Elephas maximus indicus: one gene and its partner. The protein of the gene in region 1 purifies or fractionates together with the protein of each later gene. This does not show direct contact. Links are inferred from orthologs where the notes say so. Each region holds a gene or a part of one and is shown on either strand. Other genes may lie near its edges. The genes, in order: GNAI3 and RIC8A.

Region 1 (9,228 bases):
GGCTGCCATGCAGCATGGGCCCCTGCCCACGTGGATGGAGACACCCCGGCAACGCTCGGAGTCTCTCAGTAGCCGTTCCACTATGGTCACCAGCTCGGGGGCCCCCCAGACCACCCCGCACCGGACGTTTGGAGGAGGGAAGGCGGCAGTGATTCTCTTGGCCGTGGGGGGACAGTTCCTGCTCTGTTGGTTGCCCTATTTCTCTTTCCACCTCTATGTTGCCCTGAGTGCTCAGCCCATTTCAACCGGGCAGGTAGAGAGTGTGGTCACCTGGATCGGCTACTTCTGTTTCACTTCCAACCCTTTCTTCTATGGATGTCTCAATCGGCAGATCCGGGGGGAGCTCAGCAAGCAGTTTGTTTGCTTCTTCAAGCCGGCTCCAGAGGAGGAACTGAGGCTGCCTAGTCGGGAGGGCTCAATTGAGGAAAACTTTCTGCAGTTCCTTCAGGGGACTGGCTGTCCCACAGAGTCCTGGGTTTCCCGACCCCTACCCAGCCCCAAGCAGGAGCCACCTGCTGTTGACTTTCGAATTCCAGGTCAGATAGCTGAGGAGACCTCTGAGTTCCTGGAGCAGCAACTTACCAGCGACATCATCATGTCAGACAGCTACCTCCGTCCTGCTCCGTCACCCCGGCTGGAATCGTGATGGGCTGCTGGACACTCAGAGGGAGATGGGCCTGGGGGCCTGTTATGATTGCAAGGACCACCTTGTGGAATCACCTGTTCCCAGCTGGCTGGAGCTGGAGGTGGGGTCTCTGCACACAGCTTTTGCTTGGCATTTCCTGGGTCAGGAATACAGCTGACAGCATGGACATGTGGCAACAGCTTTGGACTTGGCTGTGATCCTTGACTACTGGGGGAGGGAACCTGGGTATGGCGAGCTGGTGTTGAGAGAAAAGGGTCACAAAGGTGAGATGAAGCCTCTTAACCAGTGAGTTTTCCATGCCACAGGAAGCAGGGAAACTCTCTAAGTTGGTGGATACAGGGCTGTAGGCTACGTTTGGAGTTATTCTGGGGCTACTTTGGATATTTTATTTTCCAGTATAATTGTCCAGGGCGGTAATTGCATCCAAGCAAGTTAAGAAAATGACCCGTGTCTTCTCATTGCCTTGCTAGGTTTAAAACCAAAAAAAAACCAAACCCATCGCCGTTGACTCGATTTCTACGCATAGCAACCCTGTAGGACAAAGTAGAACTGCCCTACAGGGTTTCCAAGGCTGTAATCTTTATGGAAGCAGACTGCCACATCTTTCTCCCATGGAGCAGCTGGTGGGTTCAAACCGCCAACCTTTTCGGTTAGCAGCTGAGTGCTTAACCACTGCACCACCAGGGCTATTTCTTCCTAGGTTTAGAAAGAACTAAATTACAGCCAAGTGTTTCCATTCAAGCTAATAGATCTCTTTCCAGTTTTATATCTGAAATTTCCTTAAAGGGAAAGGATGAGTTGGGTATGTTCCTTCCTACCACAATTATCCAAGTTTGGCCAGAAACAAGCGGAATAGCAGTTCAGGGTACGTGGAGTAGAAGACAGGAAAGCTGACTGCAGCTCTCTCTCCCACTCTCAGGAGCAGCCCCTCTTCTTTATTTCCCTGTCACTCTGTATATGGGAGATCAAGCTTAGGGCTTGATCTCAGCAGAGGCAAGAGAATTAGATAGGATGGATGTTTCTCCTTTTTAGGATGAAGATCTTGGAAAGATTGGGAGTGGAATGGCTGAGGGTGGGAGCTAGCATTTGAATTGCTAAGGTGGCTGAGTACAAAGAGGCCAGCTAATCACCCTGATCAATAATATCGATAATCTTTCCCTTCCAGGACTGGCCTCCCTGATCTCTCTCCTCATGGCAGCGACCCACCTCCAGCCCCCTGGATAATCGGGTACAAGAGACTAAGGTTGGGCATGGAAAGGGTGGGTTTTCCATGGGCCACCGAATGCCTCTCTATAACTCATTCATCACTCTCAAAATTAGCTTCAGTGACTTAAATCTCTTCTATCTGCAGCCCTGGATTGGAGAGAAGGCACAGGAGTTGGGCTCAACTGTTCACTGATTGCGATTGGAGGAACTATTACTTGGTATTAGTGGCCAGAGCATGAACCAATCAAATTTTCAAGGAAGAGGGAGTAATTGCAAACTAGCCAGGACACCCATCTGGGACTACCTGTTCACCCTGCTTCCCCCAATTTAATCAGGTGACACACAAGGATAAGGCAGGACCAGGGGATGGCATGGTCTGTATTTGAACAAAAGCCTGGCTCATTGAGCATCAAAGGGGAAAATGGATTGGTGGGAGTGGGATAGTTTCCCCTTTGAACAGCCAATAAATAATTTTACTATAAAAAAGTTATACTGATATCAATACTGACTCCTTCAGTTCAATTCAGTGCATACTAGTTGAACACCCACTATTCTCTGGGACCCACACAAACGATGTGCGGTCACTGCTTTCAAGCAGTTCACAGTCTAATTTGATCAGATACTTTGTATTTTTACAGAGCATTGATAGCTGGTAAAGTACCATAGCAAGTATTTGAGAGATAGATTGGAGAATATGTCTGTGGTTATAACTTCTGAGAGTTTGGTCCATTGCAGAAATATATCTACACAGAGGTTTCCTGTAGATTGTGGAAAGGGTGACAGTTATAAAAGAAAACTGTCTAGTGGAGAAAATGATTAATTAAATGAACTTGGGCAAACGTAGCTTTCCCTCCCTTCATCTAGAAATATTTCTAGGTTTCTGTCTTCCTACCACTTATTACTCCAATCTAGTGCCTATTATATTGATAAAATACCTTACAAAGGTAGTATATACAGTGAAGAGAGTCCTTTGTGATTGAAAAAACATGTTTGTACTGCTCTCTCTATTCCATTTTAAGATAAAATCATACTGAGGAATCTCATTCCTAGATGAGGGAGAAATTCTTCTTCAAAACACAAGCATTGCCAGCAGGTGGCAGTGTGAGTCCAGTTGAAAAAGGAAAGGGGTGCGTGTGGTGAAGGGGAAGAGGGGGAAATTAAACCTTGCCTGGCAGCCATTTTGGTAATTTATTTTGCCCTTTTTTTGGGTTTTACCCTCTAACCTTTGTTTACATACATCGAAGAAGAAAGTTTTAAGTGCAAGGATCTCTCTAATTCAGGCTGAAATTTCCTGACACTGTGATCTCATTGGTGTTTATTACAGAGTTTGACGATGAAAATTGTCAGTTATTTTTCCTTGTCTGAGTGGATAATGAAGGAAATAAAAAATTCTCTCCTGTCATGCTGAGAATGTTCCCAACAATTTCTGCCATGACCACGTTCCAGGCGTTTTCTAGTCACTAGTTTGGCTTGATAAAGTTTGATATGTTATCTTAGCTCTGAAAACTGTTCCTGGATAAAACCTGAACGCCCTAATTCACAAAAGGCAACAAGTTGGGGCAACCATTCTGTCATTTACTTTTTCACCCACATTCTGGTGGTGTTGGGGTGACTCCCAATCTTAGATGAAAACTTTAGACCCTCTGTTGTCAGTTCTCTCCAGGCAAGATCCTATAGGGTCATGGTAGAAAAGGGACAAATTTGGAGTCAGATAGATCTACTTACTCACTGTGTGAACTTGGGAAAGCTGCTTAATTTCTCTGAGCCTATTTCCTCATCTGTAAAAATGAGGATATTACCTACCTCACAGGGTTGTTGTGAGGATTAAAAGAGATGACAGTGGAAGCACCTAGCCATACCTGGCAAATAGGTACTCAATAAATACTGTTTTTTCTTCCCCTTTCCTCTTGCCCTTTTTCCCCAGAAACACTGATTATGGTTATCCTAACAGTCGTTTGAGAATGAGTGGGAGACCTTCAAACTCTGAAGATTGGCATTGATGCGTTTTTTGGGTTAGGTTAATATGGCTCTCATGATATTGCTGTAATTAATAAATCATCACCATATAGACCTTTCTATTGGGAACCTTAGCCTCTAAGGTTTAAATTCTATTAGGGTAATTAAATAATTTTTAGTCACAGGGAAAGATTTTTTGGGAGCCACGAAAGAGTTCCTCTCCCTAGAACGTATGGTGAGAGTGTTTGTGGGGCGTTTGGCAGTAAAGGGAAGTTAAGGCCGCCTTCAACTAGTACCTGGGGTTATCAAGGAAAGGAAGTATCAGCCTGGGGTTTTCACAGGGACTTACTAATTTTCAGGTGTCACTAGAGTTGAAAAACGAGCACACAGTAAATTTAGAAGATTCACAAGATGCACTGGTTTGTTTTGGGGAGTGGGACTGCAGCTGACTAATTTTGGTAAAAGTCCTAAGCCCCTAAGCTAGACGACCATAAGAGCTAAAATTGGCTTATGTTAGAGAGGGCAGCATGGAAATTTTATGAACTACACGCGTAACTTTCAGGTTACTGGGTCTCTGCTAGAGATTGCAAGTGGTTCTTTGACAACACAGGAGCTGGGTAACTCCCCAATCCACAGAACCTCGTACGTAATGGCACGCGGACCAGAATCCATTTTGAGAGCAGGAGGTAGCGGGCCAGAGGAGAGGGCAGAAGTGGCTCGCTATAGTGTTAGATCTCAGATGTGAGGCGCGGCTGGGGACCAGGCTGCAGTTTGTTCCCTTTCTATAAATCTAGCCGAGACGACCCTGGCAGACTGTCCTATACTTGGGCAGCGGCCAGGATCTCCAAGGCCAGCGATCAAAGGCTCACTGGCCTGCACCCAGCAAAGCCTTCCGTGCGGGCTGTAGGCTCTTAGCTGAGAATCTCTCCCACCATCCTGCCCCGTCCAAACCCGTCTGTGGGATCTCAGAAAGGCGCCTATGAAATACAGAAGCCAGACCCAGGATTTTCTACATTTATTTAAATAATATAGAAAAGCAAAAGGCAGACGAAAAGGGAAAAAGAGACTAAAGACGGACTAGAGGTGTGCACCCAGCCCACAAATCCATAACCTGAGCCTACCGCCCCCTCCCCAGTACTTCCGCTTTTGGTAGCACCTCCCCTCCCGGAGCTAGAGCGGTTTGAGAAGGGACGGCCGTAGGGCATCACCGGAAGTGTCGCAAACGCCGGATATCCGGTTCCTCTGGGCGCTCCGGGAGCTGAGACTGAAGAGGGACGCCGCCCAGCAGCAGGCGCCGTCTCAGTCGCCCGAGCCGCAGTCGCCGCGGTGTGTGAGTGAGCCCGGATACGGTCCCCTCTCCCGCCGCCGCCATGGGCTGCACGTTGAGCGCCGAAGACAAGGCGGCGGTGGAGCGGAGCAAGATGATCGACCGCAACTTGCGGGAGGACGGGGAGAAGGCGGCCAAGGAAGTAAAGCTGCTCCTGCTTGGTATGGGGCCGTGGGCGTGGCTGGCGGGGTGGTTGGGAGGCCCTGGGCACTTGGAAAATCTGAGGGGGGGTCAGGCCGGGCCGGTGTAAAGGACTCCGGAGAGATCTAGAGGGCTTGACGGGCTTGGGGCGGGTATTTAGGTTGGTGTCTGAGGCCCCGGAGGGCGTGATGAGGGGGTGGGGTTTGGGGTTGTAGGAATTAAGCTGTAGAGGGTGTGACTCCGGGCTGGAATTGGGTTTAGCGTAGAGAGCTTCGGAATGGGGCGGTACCGTAAAGAGACTGTTAGGAATATAGGAAATACTCATAAAACAGCTGATATTAGGGAAACTTTTGTATGGATTTGCAGTGTTTTGATAGCAAGGAGTTCGGGATACAGTGTAATGTGTAGGGTTTGTATAATGGTTTGCGAATTTGAAGCGTAGTGGTACTCTTAGAATAGAGCTGGGAAACTTAGAGTAATTAATATAAATAGAGAGGTTGGGGCAGAGCGATCACATAAGGACTCTGTCATTAGAGAGTGGGCATTTTGAACTGTTGGTAAGTGGAGGGAACTTGGATTATCCAGGAACATAAAGGTGGGTGACAGGTTATCGGGTATGAACGAAGAGAGCTTGGGTGCTGAGGCCGTCTTTATACTTGTCCTGCGTTTTCTATCATTTTTATTCTCTTAAATTTTACAGCCCCCTCCCCTGTTTTTATAAAGGGGGGATGTAGAGAGCTGGGGAAATTTAAAGAATGGCTTGGTTGAGATTTGTGGCAGTTGAGGTAGTGGACATAGATTATCTATTGGGAGTTGCTCAATAGTTGGCTAGGGGTGATGTGCAGTGTGAATGAAGGAGTTAGGAAAAGTTAAGAAATTGGACATATTTCTTCTAAAGACCGACAGATCTATGGTGAACTGTTTTATCTTTTTTGGTTTCTTCGAATAAAAAATATTGGCTTTAGGCATTACTTTTTATGATGCTACCTGACATTTTTAAAAAATAGCTTTTACGGACCATCAGGTGCATTTTGCTCAGCAGGTTTAGTTTTACAATTTTTGAGAGACTGGCTTCTAGAGGCTCAGTAAATCATATGAAGTACCTTGGCATTAGTTTACCAATAAATCGAGCCACATTTCTTCACTATTAATATTTTCTAGGGACCCATTAGAGAAGAATAAGAATAAAGTGGTTTCTTAAGCAATAGAACAGCTTAATTTTTAAAACAGTTGACTTTTGAGAAAAAGTAGCTGCTTTAGGGGAAGTGCCAAATTTTCATAGTGTAAAACAGACTCAGAGGACAGAATGCACCACCATAATCCAAGGCTTGTTTTAGTTTGAACTTTGGGACGTGCTGGCTGCACCTGCTAGTCTCTTCTTGTTAACATATTTGTTTGTCTGTTGATCGCAGAAGCCCTGGTAATAGCTTTTTTGGATATAAGGGGAAAACTGCATTGGATTTTGAGCTTCCAGTTTGACTGCCTAAACTTTCAGAAGGCACAAATTCAGATTTAGTTCAAGATTTCCACGGTCTATGTAATAGATAAGGAGCCCTGGTTCCGCAGTGGTTAAGTGCTTGGCTTCTAGCCGAAAAGTCAGTGGTTTGAACCCACCAGCCGTTCTGCGGGACAGCGATGTGGCAGTCTGCTTCTGTGAAGATTTACAGTCTTGGAAGCCCTACGGAGCAGTTCTACTCTGTCTTGAAGGGTCGTCGTGGGTTGGAATCGACCTGACGGCGGTAGGTATGTAACAGGTGTTGTTGTGGATGAGCACAGTCCCTGGCACATAGTAGGTGCTGCTTAAACATTTGCTGCTAATCAGCCTGAGCCAGCTAATGTTGGACATTGGTCCTGGGGCCTTTCAGATGTTTGGTACAAAGTATAACAGTGAAGGCATTTTCTATATTGATAGGTTGGTTATGAGGTTAAAGGTGCATTCTCGGCTTCTGTGAGTGTTTTGATTTACATTGGCCGTCGGAGATCCCTTGGGCCGTTAGCCTGTTTTAATATAGTTGTAAACTATGAGACTTTCTTCCAAATGGCAAGACTTAGCAGGCAGAACTCAGGCAAGTAGAACTCGTTCAGATGTTTAGAAAAATCTTTATTCGGGACTTTATAAATATTACATTTAATTAAAAACAAAAGCATGTGATGATTTAGGAAACTTGAAAAGCAGTAAATAAAAATCAAAGTATTAAAGCATTTGTTTTTAATTTTTATCACTTCATTTTTAAAAAAACTTTGTTGTTTTTGAAAATATACACAGTAAAACATATACCAGTTCAACCGTTTCTGCATGTACAATTTAGCGACATTGGTTACATCCTTCGAAATGTAATTCAGATATAATCATTTTTGAAATGATTGTGCAATCATTTTCACCTTCGTTTTAAGTTTTAAAGTTTATCTCAGGGCAGTAGTATCAGGGGTTCATCTAGCCCCCATGGCTCTAGAAAGTCTGGAGTTCCATGAGAATTTGAAATTCTTTTCCGTAGAATCTTTGATCGAAATGTTCAGCAGTGATAGCTGGGCATCATCCAGCTCTTCTGGTCTTTTGGCAGAGGAGGCATTAACTTCATTGTTTTTTACGTAAGTTTTTTTTTTTTTTTTGTATCCTTGAGCAAGTTAAATCAACAAATTCAAACAGGTTCCAGAGAGATGTTCTTGCTTGAGCCGGATGATGATGCACATGTGAAGTTAAAACTGCCTTCCTTGCTATTTATGTAAAATGTACTCATCGCTGTATGTGATTTTTTTTTTTTTTTGCTGTTGAGTACGTTCTTTGATGTACATGTGAGTCATTTTTACTTCATCACTCTGAAACTATCAAACTTAGTCTAACTTGAGATCTATCTCTATTACCTTTGTCTTCCCTGGGACATGATAGGTGCTCAGTAAGTAGTAATATATTTTTGTTGTCAAAGGGATGTCGTTTAGCCTAGTGGTTAATAGTCTGAAGTCAGACTGCTTGAAAACCTGATTCCCACTTACTAGCTATAACCTTGGGAAAATTCATTTATTTCTCTCTGCCTCAGTTTCCTCATTTTTAAAATGGAGAAGATAAAGGTACTTCATAGGATTGCTGTGAGGATTAAATACGATAGGGTAAAGTGGAATACAGTCTGGCACATAGTACTAGCTCAGTGAGTATTAGCTATTGTTGTTATTATAAAATCGAAATGAATGTTATAGATTATAAATACTGTAGAAATTTAAATAAGGAAACCAGTGTGGGCTAAAATAGCTAAGGAAGACTTCAGTACTGTAATTTTCTCTGCTGTTTGCCTGTTTTTGAATTTTCTTTAGGTGTTATTGGGAAGATCTCGATACGCCAAACTTGTGTTCAATCACAATATTCTACTGAAAGGCAAAATCATGCAAAGCTTCCTAGCCAGTGTGCTGGCACATGGAATGGTTTATTGGTGTGCTGTTTGAAAATTTGTTATAGCGTTGAAATTTTGTTTTAATTAATAGTGTTGAAATTGTAAATCCTTCTTATAACTTTTCAGAATTTTAAAACAGTTATGCTATTTTAACATTTTTGGTGATTCTCTCTATAAACTTTCTGAATTTGATAATTGGAAAATATTTTATTTGGAAGGATTGTATTTCTGGTCATAATTCATAATATAGAGAAATATATATATATATTTTACCAAGCCTCTCTAGTTTACTCCAATGAGCCTTACAAATATTATTATTTTCAATGTGTGCCATGATGTGACAAAGGTTGGGAAGCACTGGTATAGTGGATAAGAGCCTTCCCTTTGGATTCACACAAAACTGTTCAAATCCTATCTCCACTCGCTAGCTTTGAGACCCAGAGCAGGTAACTTAACCACAGAAAGGTAATTGTCATGTATGTTGAGATGAAGATGATGCCTTCTTCATAAAATGAAAGAGATAATGTATGTAAAGTGCTTAGCAGTAACGCATCTTGTTGTCATCGTGT
Region 2 (9,309 bases), on another chromosome or scaffold:
GGGCACAAGCCAAACACAGGGTGTGGGCAGGGGACACAGCTGAGGTGGGGAAGGCTGTAGGCCCCTACCATGCTGTCCAGGTAGTGGTTCTGGTCCTCTGCATCCCTGTCAATGTCCAGGGCCAGCTGGTCAGGGCACAGAGAAGGCAGGCTCAGGCCAGGGCCACAAAGAGTGGGCGGTCCCCACCCTCCCTGCAAGACTAGCCAGACCTTGCCAGCAAACCGGCAGGACATGGGTGCCGCTGGCAAGGTCAGGTGTCACCCAGAACCTGTGTGGTAGGTAAGCATGGATGGGGTGAAGAGAGGGATACACTGCCTGGAACCCCCCTCCAGCTGGCTGCCCTCCCTCAGGTCCTGCCCACAACTGCACAGACCGACTTGAGCCGGGTGACCTTGGAGGCCAGGTGGTCTGCCATCCGCTTGTTCTCCTGGTCCAGAATTTCATCCACAGCCCCAGGGCTCTGAGCTGCAGAGAGAGAGAGGGAGGGATCGCATCACCAGTGGAAGCCCCAACCCTGGAACTCGGGGAGCCGACTCTCTGCGCCTTCATCCATCCCACTGGACCCAGGTAGACATGTCAGTGGGCCTGAGTCCCCTCCATCTGTGACCTGCTGGGCAGGTGTGGGTCCTAACCTGCTGGGCAGGTGTGTCCTAGTCTAGGTTCCAGTGTGAGGTCCGCAGGTCTTTCCCATAGGACAATCTGTGCAACAACGTGCGAGTGCACATCCCATGTACATGCCCGCGCAGGACGCATGGAACGCCCCCCCGTGTGCCCCCGACGGGCTTGTCCAACCAGCACTTTCTAACCTGACTCTGCCAGGACCTGGACCAAGCCCAGGGGTACTGGGAAGACACAACACCTGCCTGTGTGTTCTTTATGTTCACCAGACAATCCTCAAGAGCAACCTGGAAGGACCCCTGGAGGGTACAGGGAAGCTCCTGTGTGGGCGGCCATGAGCTGGGTCCTGAAGAGGTGACAGGTGGCCGGGGACCTTGGGTAGCCTTTCACACATGGGAATGGTCAGGAGCTGAGATACCTGACCCCAAGGGCATAGCTGGGTCTGTGCACTGTGTTTGCTCCCCATTGTGACTGCCTGTGGCCCGACAAACCCATTTTCCACTCTCCACTTTGGGGCTGGGCCAGGAGATGCAGGATTCGCATCACAGCGGGTGGATGAGAATCGTCGCCCCGCGCACACCTCACGCACCTGGGTCAATGACGTCTACGTGACCCACTGGAGTGCAGCACAGCCCCACAGGAATGACGTGTAAAGACCCCTGCTGCAGTACAGTGAATCGCTTAATATGGCCCTTCTAGTCAACAGTTTTTGTAACTGCAAATAAGGTGCTTATGACCTGCCAAGACGATTGGATAGCTTACTGATCATGCAAATAAGGTGCACAGGACCCTACGGAGGTGTGATCATGCTAATAAGGTATATAAAACCCTAATAAGGGGACTGGTCAGTTTTGCCATCCAGCTGGACTTAAACAAGCAGTCAATTCCAGAGCAGAGTGGGGTTCTCACTACCACCAAAAAAGAGCTAGGAGTGGAGCGCATCCTTTGGACCCGGGATCCCTGCTCTGGGAACGTCCTGGACCCCGAAGACAGAGAGAGAGAGCTGTTAACACTGGAGATAGCAAGAAGCAGTGGCAGCAGAGGCAGCAGAACCAGGAGACTGGCAGGAGACGGTGCAGTGGGCTTGCCCACCCACAGAGCCAGAGAGCTAAGCGTCTTCCGGCACAAGGCTTCCTGGCGGACTGGGGTGCCTCCAGGTATTCGCTGGCAGAGCTAAAAGAGCTTTGTAACACTTGGATGAACAGGTCAGAGGCGGGGGGGCGGGGGGCAGAGAAAGGCCTGTGGCAAAGAGGCTGTCTTGATCCCAGAACTGTATCCTGAGCGTTCCTGATCCTGAATTGTAACCCATTACTTCCCTAACAAACCTTAACTACCTACGAGTCTATGAGTCCTGTGTGATCATTGCAACCAATTATCGAACCCAACAGAGGAGTACAGAGTGCCGTGGGAGGGGCAGCTGGTGTCAGAATTGGTAAAAGGGTTGATGGGTGGAGGCATGTCTGACCTCCACCTCAACGCAATCAGCCTTGTGCTGCTGGTGCTGACCTTTCTCCTTCCCACTTGTGAAGTCAGAGGAGGTCAGAGGCCCCGCCACACCATTTTACACCCGGGGAAGGAGAGCCAATTGTGCGAGGCATCTTTCATGTTCTCTACGCCTTTACGCGTCAGGACAGTCCAATGGGACAGGTATCAGAACCCCACTTAACAGACGGGAACACCGAGTCGGTACACAGCCCCCCTTAACAGACGGGAACACCGAGTCGGTACACGGCCCCGCTTAACAGACGGGAACACCGAGTCGGTACACAGCCCCCCTTAACAGACGGGAACACCGAGTCGGTACACGGCCTGTCTGGACCCTCCCACCGCACAGCCTCGACTCGGAGGCTCACGGGTCCTCGCACCAGCCTCTCGGACAGTCGCCGGGTGGCCCGTCCGAGGCCCCATCCTAGGCCCCAGGGGCCCTGGGCGCCGCACGAGTGGGTGCGGGGTACGCTCTGCGGCCGGGACCGAGCGGCAGGGCCCTCAGCGCCCGCGGAGTGCGGCCCGCTCCCGCCCGGGGAGGCCCCGGAGCCCCGGCTCCGCCCGCCGCGGCGGGGTCGCTCCCGCGGTGTTGCCCCGGTTCCGGCCCCGCCCCCCGGTTCCAACAGCCGTGCTTCCCGGCGCGCACCTCTAGCCCAGTCCGCCATCGCGCCCAGTTCCGGCCCGGGCCTCGGTCCCCGGTTGGGCCGCCGCCGCCGCCTCCACGGACGTGGCACTGGGCACCGGAAGAGGCTTCCGGCCCCCACTGAGCCGTGGCCCCGCCCCGACCGGCCACAGCCCCGCCCCTTCCGCCAGAGCCTCGCTCGACTTCCGGCTGAAAGGAGGCGGAAGTGAGTTCAAGTTGGCTTCAGAGCCCGCGAAATGGGGGCGCGGCGGGGTTGTTTGCTTTTGGTACCGCTTGGTTGCCTTCTATTTTTAATGGCAAATCATGGTCCCCGAAAGGCTCTTCTCTCGGTTATTCCAACCAGAGGTGCATCAGGCAGTAACGTAGCGCCAGGCTAGCCAGTAAATACCGGGCAGCTTTTACAGGCTAGGTGCGGGTGGCGTCCCGCCTGCCTGCCTGCGCTCCGCTCTGGGCCGGGCTCCGCGACCGGGGCGCCCACCGTCCTAGTGCTGCAGACAAGCCAAAGCTGCGGCGCGTTAGGGACAGCATCGCCCTGGTGTGGCCTGGGGATGGTTAACCTCTGCACACCAGCTCGCATCTACAGAGCTGACAGTGCTTAGGACAGTGCCTGCACCGAGGAAGCTCTGTGTGTTTGTTAAAGTAGAGGCGTGAAGAATCGTGGAAAAAATAAAGCAAGGAATAGGGGTATTGGTGATAGGTGGGGACTTTGAACTTTGTCCCTAACAAAGGGCCTGGCACGAAGTAGATGCTCAATGTTTATTGAAAGAATAGATGGGTGGATGCGCCGTATTTATAAGTTACCCACCGTTACGGACCATTTTCTGTGTGCGAAACACTACGTTGAGTGCTTTGCACTTAAATGCATTTAATCCTCATGATAACCCATTGAGACGGGCACTTTTATTATTCCTGTTTTACACAAAAAGAAAACCGCGTCCAGGCTGGGCACCAGGTCTGGGTTACACATGGAGGAAATCGCCGCACACGGTCAGGCTCCCCTCTTCATCCCTGACCTCTTCCCCACTCCCCCTCGTCTCAGCTCCAACGGTAACTTCCTTTCCCCATCCCACCACGGTCATTCCCACTCTTGGACAAGCTATTCCTTCTGCCTTGAACGACCCCTCTCAGGCCTTTTCCTGGCCCCTGTTCTTGTCATTCGTCTCAGCAAGAGGGTCACTTCTTCAGAGCCTTTTGCAGCCCACCATGCACTGGAGATCACAGGACTCTTGGCTGCTTTTTGAATCATGGCACTTATGACCGCCCAGTCATTTGTTTTTCCTGGTCTGTCTTCCTCTCTAGAAGACGAACTTCAGAAAGGCAGGGACCCTAGCACCTCGCATGAAATAGGAGCTCAACAAAATCCTGTTTATCAAACCAATTGGCCCCAGGACTACAAAGTTCCACCTCGGTTGTCCCCCTCCCATTCGTTCGGTGGATCAAGAAGGGCGTTAGTGTGTGCGTGTCGCGGGTGGGGGGACGAGGCCCTCTCCTGTTGGAAATTCTGGCCCAAGGAGCAGTCGGGGGGTGGGCCATGGTTCTGCACTGAGCGACTCGGACTCTGAGGTCAGCCGATAACCAAGCCGGGTCTCGTAGCCTAGTCGACTTCAAGGCCACCAACACCACCCGGACCTCTCCGCGGCTCCGCGCATGCCCCGTCCAGGCCCCTCCCGCGGCTCTGCGCATGCCCCGTCCAGGCCCCTCCCGCGGCTCTGCGCATGCCCCGTCCAGGCCCCTCCCGCGGCGCCGCGCATGCCCCGTCCAGGCCCCTCCCGCGGCTCTGCGCATGCCCCGTCCAGGCCCCTCCCGCGGCGCCGCGCATGCCCCGTCCAGGCCCCTCCCGCGGCGCGCGCATGCCCCGTCCAGGCCTTCCCCGTGGCGCGCGCACTTTCGGTCCCGGCCTCCCCCGCGCGCGTGACGCTGGGTCGGGAGGCAGGGCGGGGTCGGCTCCGCGGCTCGAGGGCCTTCCGCTCGCCGACTGGAGCCTCCCCGCGCCGGTCCCAGCGACGCCATGGAGCCCCGGGCGGTTGCGAATGCCGTGGAGGCGGGGGAGGAGGCCGCAATGATGGAGGCCCTGCGGACGTACAACCGGGAGGTGAGCGCGAGCCTTTGACGGGCCGGGCACTACGGTGGGCGCGCCGCGCGGCGGGGCTGAGCCTGCGGGACGGGCTGTGGGGGCGTCTGCGGGCGGGGGGGCGCGGTGGGGGGCGTCTGCGGGCGGGGGGGCGCGGTGGGGGCGCGCGGTGGGGGGCGTCTGCGGGCGGGGGGGCGCGCGGTGGGGGGCGTCTGCGGGCGGGGGGGCGCGGTGGTGGCATCTGCGGGCGGGGGGGCGCGGTGGGGGGCGTCTGCGGGTGGGGGCGCCGGGCCCAGCCGCCTGCTCAGAGTCGAGGCCGATGCTGCCGCCCCCCTGCGGGCGCGGTCCTGCCCCGGCTGGGGAACCTGAACGTCGTGATCCCTTGATCTCTCTCTGCAGAACTCGGAGAGCTTCACGTTTGAGGACGCGCAGCGGGAAGACAGGAAGGTGGGTGCTGGCCGGGGGTGGGGGGCTGGGCGGGGGCGGGCCTGGTGGAGCTGCTCCTCTCTCTGCAGAGACTGGCCGGCCTGCTGGTGTCGGCCCTGGAGCAGGGCCTGCCGCCCTCTCGACGCGCCACTTGGCTGCAGAGCCTTCGCATCCTGTCCCGGGACCGCGGCTGCCTGGACCTGTTCACCAGCCGCCCGAGCCTGCAGGCCCTGGCTCGCTGTGCTGGCATCTTCGTGTCCGAGGGACCTGACCCTGAGTCTCCAGACATGGACATTGTGCTTGAGGCCCTCAAGTGCCTCTGCAACCTCGTGCTGAGCAGCCCCGCGGCACAGGCGTTGGCTGCCCAGGCCTGCCTGGTAGTAAGGCTCTCAGAGCGTGTGCGGCTCTCCGGGCAGCGGAGCTTCCCGCATGATGTCCAGTTCTTTGACTTGCGGCTACTCTTCTTGCTGACGGCACTGCGCACTGACGTGCGCCAGCAACTGTTTCGGGAGCTGCAGGGGGTGCGCCTGCTGACCCATGCGCTGGAGCTGACGTTGGGGGCGTCCCCAGAGGAGAGCCCCCCTGAGTTCCTCCCTGCACAGGAGACAGAGCGGGCCATGGAGATCCTCAAAGTTCTCTTCAACATCACCTTCGATTTGGTCAAGCAGGAGGTGGATGAGGTGAGGGCTCAACTCACAGGTGCCTTTGATTTTGTGGGCATCAGATGAGAGAGGATTGGGGTTCCTGCCTCTTGGAGAAGAGGAGGGTCCCTTTTGAGGAGGGGCCTCAAGGAAGGCATTGGAGGGAGGCTGCGAGGGGAGGTGGTTTCTGGTTCTCCAGGCCCAGCAGGAACCAGAGTATGTGGTAGGAGAGGAAACAGGATTTCATCCCAAGGGACTGTGTTGACGTTCTTAGTTGGAAAAGTGCTGTTAGGAAAAGAGTAGAGGCTATTTAGCCCCACTGTTAGTAAAGTAAAGGTCACATTGGAGAGGACAAGGGCCCAGGACTAGGCTTGTTGGTAGGCTCAGTGGATGGAAGAGCCTTAGCTGGCAACAGCACGGGAGTGGGGTTCTTCTCTCCTCTAAGAACATGTTTCTGGTTAGGATGATGCTGCCTGTTACCGGCATCTGGGGATCCTTCTGCGGCACTGTGTGATGGTCTCGGCTGCCGGCGACCGCACGGAGGAGTTCCACGGGTGAGGGAGGGGCTTGAGGTGGGTAAGTGGGGGTGTGGGGTATGGGTTACAGGTGGGCGGGGCCTTGAGGTGGGTGGGTGGGGCTGTGGGTGGGGCTTCAAGGTAGATGGGGGTGGTGTGCATGTGGGCCTGCCTTGGCTGGGAAGGGGATGCTCAGACAGGGTTCTCAGTCTTGGCTGTGGATCGGGAGGCGGGGCAAAGAGAGCAGAAGGGACCCACCCTAGAGTCTGATTTCACCTGTCTGAGTGAGGTGGGCAGCAGCACCATTCAGAAATACCTGGGTATTCCTGGCACCACCAGGATCAGTCAGGGGAGGCGCTGACGCCTGGACCTGGGCTGATGAGCAGCCTCACGTGTGGTCTGAGAAGGGTGGCAGCTAGGACTGCACTTGCCGGACAGTTGTCCTAATTAAACCCCATCTGTCTGCAGCCATGCAGTGAATCTCCTGGGAAACTTGCCACTTGAGTGCCTTGACGTCCTCCTCACTCCGGAGCTGCACACAGGCTCCCTGGAGTTCATGGGAGTGAACATGGACGTGATTCATGCTCTCCTTGACTTCCTGGAGCGGCGTTTGGACCAGGTAGGCAGGAGGGACTGCTGTGCAGGCCCCTGGGGGTCTGACCTGGCTTTTCCCTGCTTCTTCACCACCAGCCCTGGTGCATGGAAGTCTCTGATGTGAGTCGGGCATTCCCTCCAGTGCCCATGGTTCTTCTTGAGAAGCGTGTGGAGCCCTTTCTTCTGAAGGTTTCACTCTTGATTGGTGGAGGGTCTGAACAGTGGACCCTCTGTGGGTACACTAACTGGTTTACAAAGTCCAGTGTGGTGCTTGTCCTTGTAATTTTTTTATGGTTGTGGGTCTCTTTTGTGTGGTCCTGGGAAATGCCCAGTCCATGTGCATGATGCTTAAACGTTGGTGTCACTGTGCCCACCAACCCTTTGTTGTCCCTTGCTGCCCCCTGCCTCATCCTCTCTTGGCCTCCCTAAGGCAGAATCTGTAGGAGTCTTGGGCCAGTGGGTCCTTCTCATCACTGCGGGGACGCCCCAGGAGGCCGGGTGGCTGGGCTTCAACAGATTTCCAGGAGCTTGCAGTGTCATGTAGCAGGACAGGCTCGATACTCAGAAGATTCCAGAACCCACAGCGCCTGGGGAAGGGTGCTCAGGTGCAGTGTGAACCATGGGGCACATCTGCACTACGTGTGCCTGTTGTGCAGACGCGAGCGCTAACTTGAGGCCGTAGTGTGAGAAGCTACAATCAAGGAAACAGAGCGCCTCACGTGAACTGCTACTTGTTCCGATACAAATGTTTAAGCATCCGCCTTAAATTATCTAAAAGGTTACTCACGTGGAAAAGGGAACAGTAGAATGCGTGTATGGGTGTTTTCACAAAAGATAAAAATGCGGACAGAAGACCAGGCAAAGTCTCGGGTCTCGCTGGCCTGAGGGACTGGGTACGGGCTGTGGGGGTTTCTGTTTGGAGCAGGCCCTGCTATACAGTTGGTGCTTCAGGTCCTCTGCAAGACCCACCCCCCCTCCCCCGCCGCCGCCAAGGTCCCACTTTTGTTCCCAAGCCCCTGTCATCAGGACCTGCAAGCCAGTGGGGCCAGGTAGGTGACAAAGGCTTCTCCACAGACGCACCGGCTGAAGGAGAGCGTGGCTCCTGTGTTGAGCGTGCTGACTGAGTGTGCCCGTGCACACCGCCCAGCCAGGAAGTTCCTAAAGGCCCAGGTATGGGGTCCTAGGGGCAGGGGCAGGCCTGGGCACAGACCGCACCATGCTGCGCCCAGGCTAAGGGACGGGCCACTCCCCAGGTGCTGCCCCCGCTGCGGGACGTGAGCACCCGCCCCGAGGTGGGGGGACTGCTGCGCAACAGGCTGGTCCGCCTCATGACACACCTGGACACTGACGTGAAGCGCGTGGCTGCTGAGTTCCTGTTTGTACTCTGCGCCGAGAGTGGTGAGTGGGGGCTGGGCACCTACCCCTCCCACAGCCGTGGCTGGCTCTGACCTCCACCTGCCTTCAGTGCCCCGATTCATCAAGTACACGGGCTACGGGAACGCCGCCGGTCTCCTGGCTGCCAGGGGCCTCATGGCAGGGGGCCGTGCCTCAGGCCAGTACTCGGAGGACGAGGACACAGACACGGAGGAGTACAAGGAAGCCAAGGCCAGGTGTGCTGCCCTGGCCCACACCACCCGTCTGTGGGGTGGGACGGGGGTGGAAGCAGCTTCTTCCCCTGAGTGGCATCTGTCTTGAGATCCAGGTCAGGGGCGGGGCCTGTCTGGGTAGGTGGTCTGTACGTGGGAGCCCCTAACTGCTGGGGGAATTTCGGGAGCCCACTGTCCCTCCAGCCCCTCCCATCCTGGTTGGGCACTAACGCCGTGCCCCCCTGGAAGCAGCATAAACCCCGTGACGGGGAGGGTGGAGGAGAAGCCACCCAACCCCATGGAGGGTATGACAGAGGAGCAGAAGGAACATGAGGCCATGAAGCTGGTGAACATGTTTGACAGGCTTTCCAGGTGAGTGGCGGGCAGGGAGCCCTCCCTGAGGCATCTTCCCAGAAGGGCTGCATTCTTCATCAGTCTTGATGAAAACTGAGGCCTGGGGAGATAAGTGACTGCCTACAGTCTCAAAGCCAGAAGGGGGCAGTTAGGGTTCAGCCCAATGGATACAAGGTTCTGCCCAGGCTCCCTGGTCTGGGCAGGGGCTGGTGGAGGAGTGCTGGCCAGGAGGAGCAGGACCACGCCCGGCCCACCAAGCCTTTTTCTTCAGGCACCGAGTCATCCAGCCCATGGGCATGAGTCCCTGTGGTCACCTCACGTCTCTGCAGGATGCCATGTGCCAGACCATGGAGGGGCAGCTTTCCTCAGACCCTGA

Evidence for each region.
Region 2: the proteins of GNAI3 (region 1) and RIC8A purify together in Homo sapiens (affinity purification with mass spectrometry; 3 studies listed by BioGRID and IntAct, counting the BioPlex papers as one, with this or other methods). This does not show direct contact. The link is inferred for Elephas maximus indicus from reciprocal best matches to the Homo sapiens genes GNAI3 and RIC8A.

What each region holds. Positions count from the first base shown.
Region 1 is NC_064821.1:172,028,298-172,037,525, reverse strand, and holds the start of GNAI3 (guanine nucleotide-binding protein G(i) subunit alpha-3), read left to right. Parts: upstream 1-5,041; 5' UTR 5,042-5,178; coding exon 5,179-5,296; intron 5,297-9,228. Other genes in the region: GPR61 (G-protein coupled receptor 61), read left to right, coding at 1-646. UniProt on the Homo sapiens protein: Heterotrimeric guanine nucleotide-binding proteins (G proteins) function as transducers downstream of G protein-coupled receptors (GPCRs) in numerous signaling cascades.
Region 2 is NC_064825.1:138,014,845-138,024,153, reverse strand, and holds the start of RIC8A (synembryn-A), read left to right. Parts: upstream 1-4,620; 5' UTR 4,621-4,754; coding exon 4,755-4,838; intron 4,839-5,216; coding exon 5,217-5,264; intron 5,265-5,332; coding exon 5,333-5,923; intron 5,924-6,346; coding exon 6,347-6,438; intron 6,439-6,867; coding exon 6,868-7,018; intron 7,019-8,067; coding exon 8,068-8,163; intron 8,164-8,246; coding exon 8,247-8,391; intron 8,392-8,458; coding exon 8,459-8,603; intron 8,604-8,831; coding exon 8,832-8,951; intron 8,952-9,204; coding exon 9,205-9,309. Other genes in the region: BET1L (BET1-like protein), read right to left, coding at 69-125, 374-465, 2,750-2,768.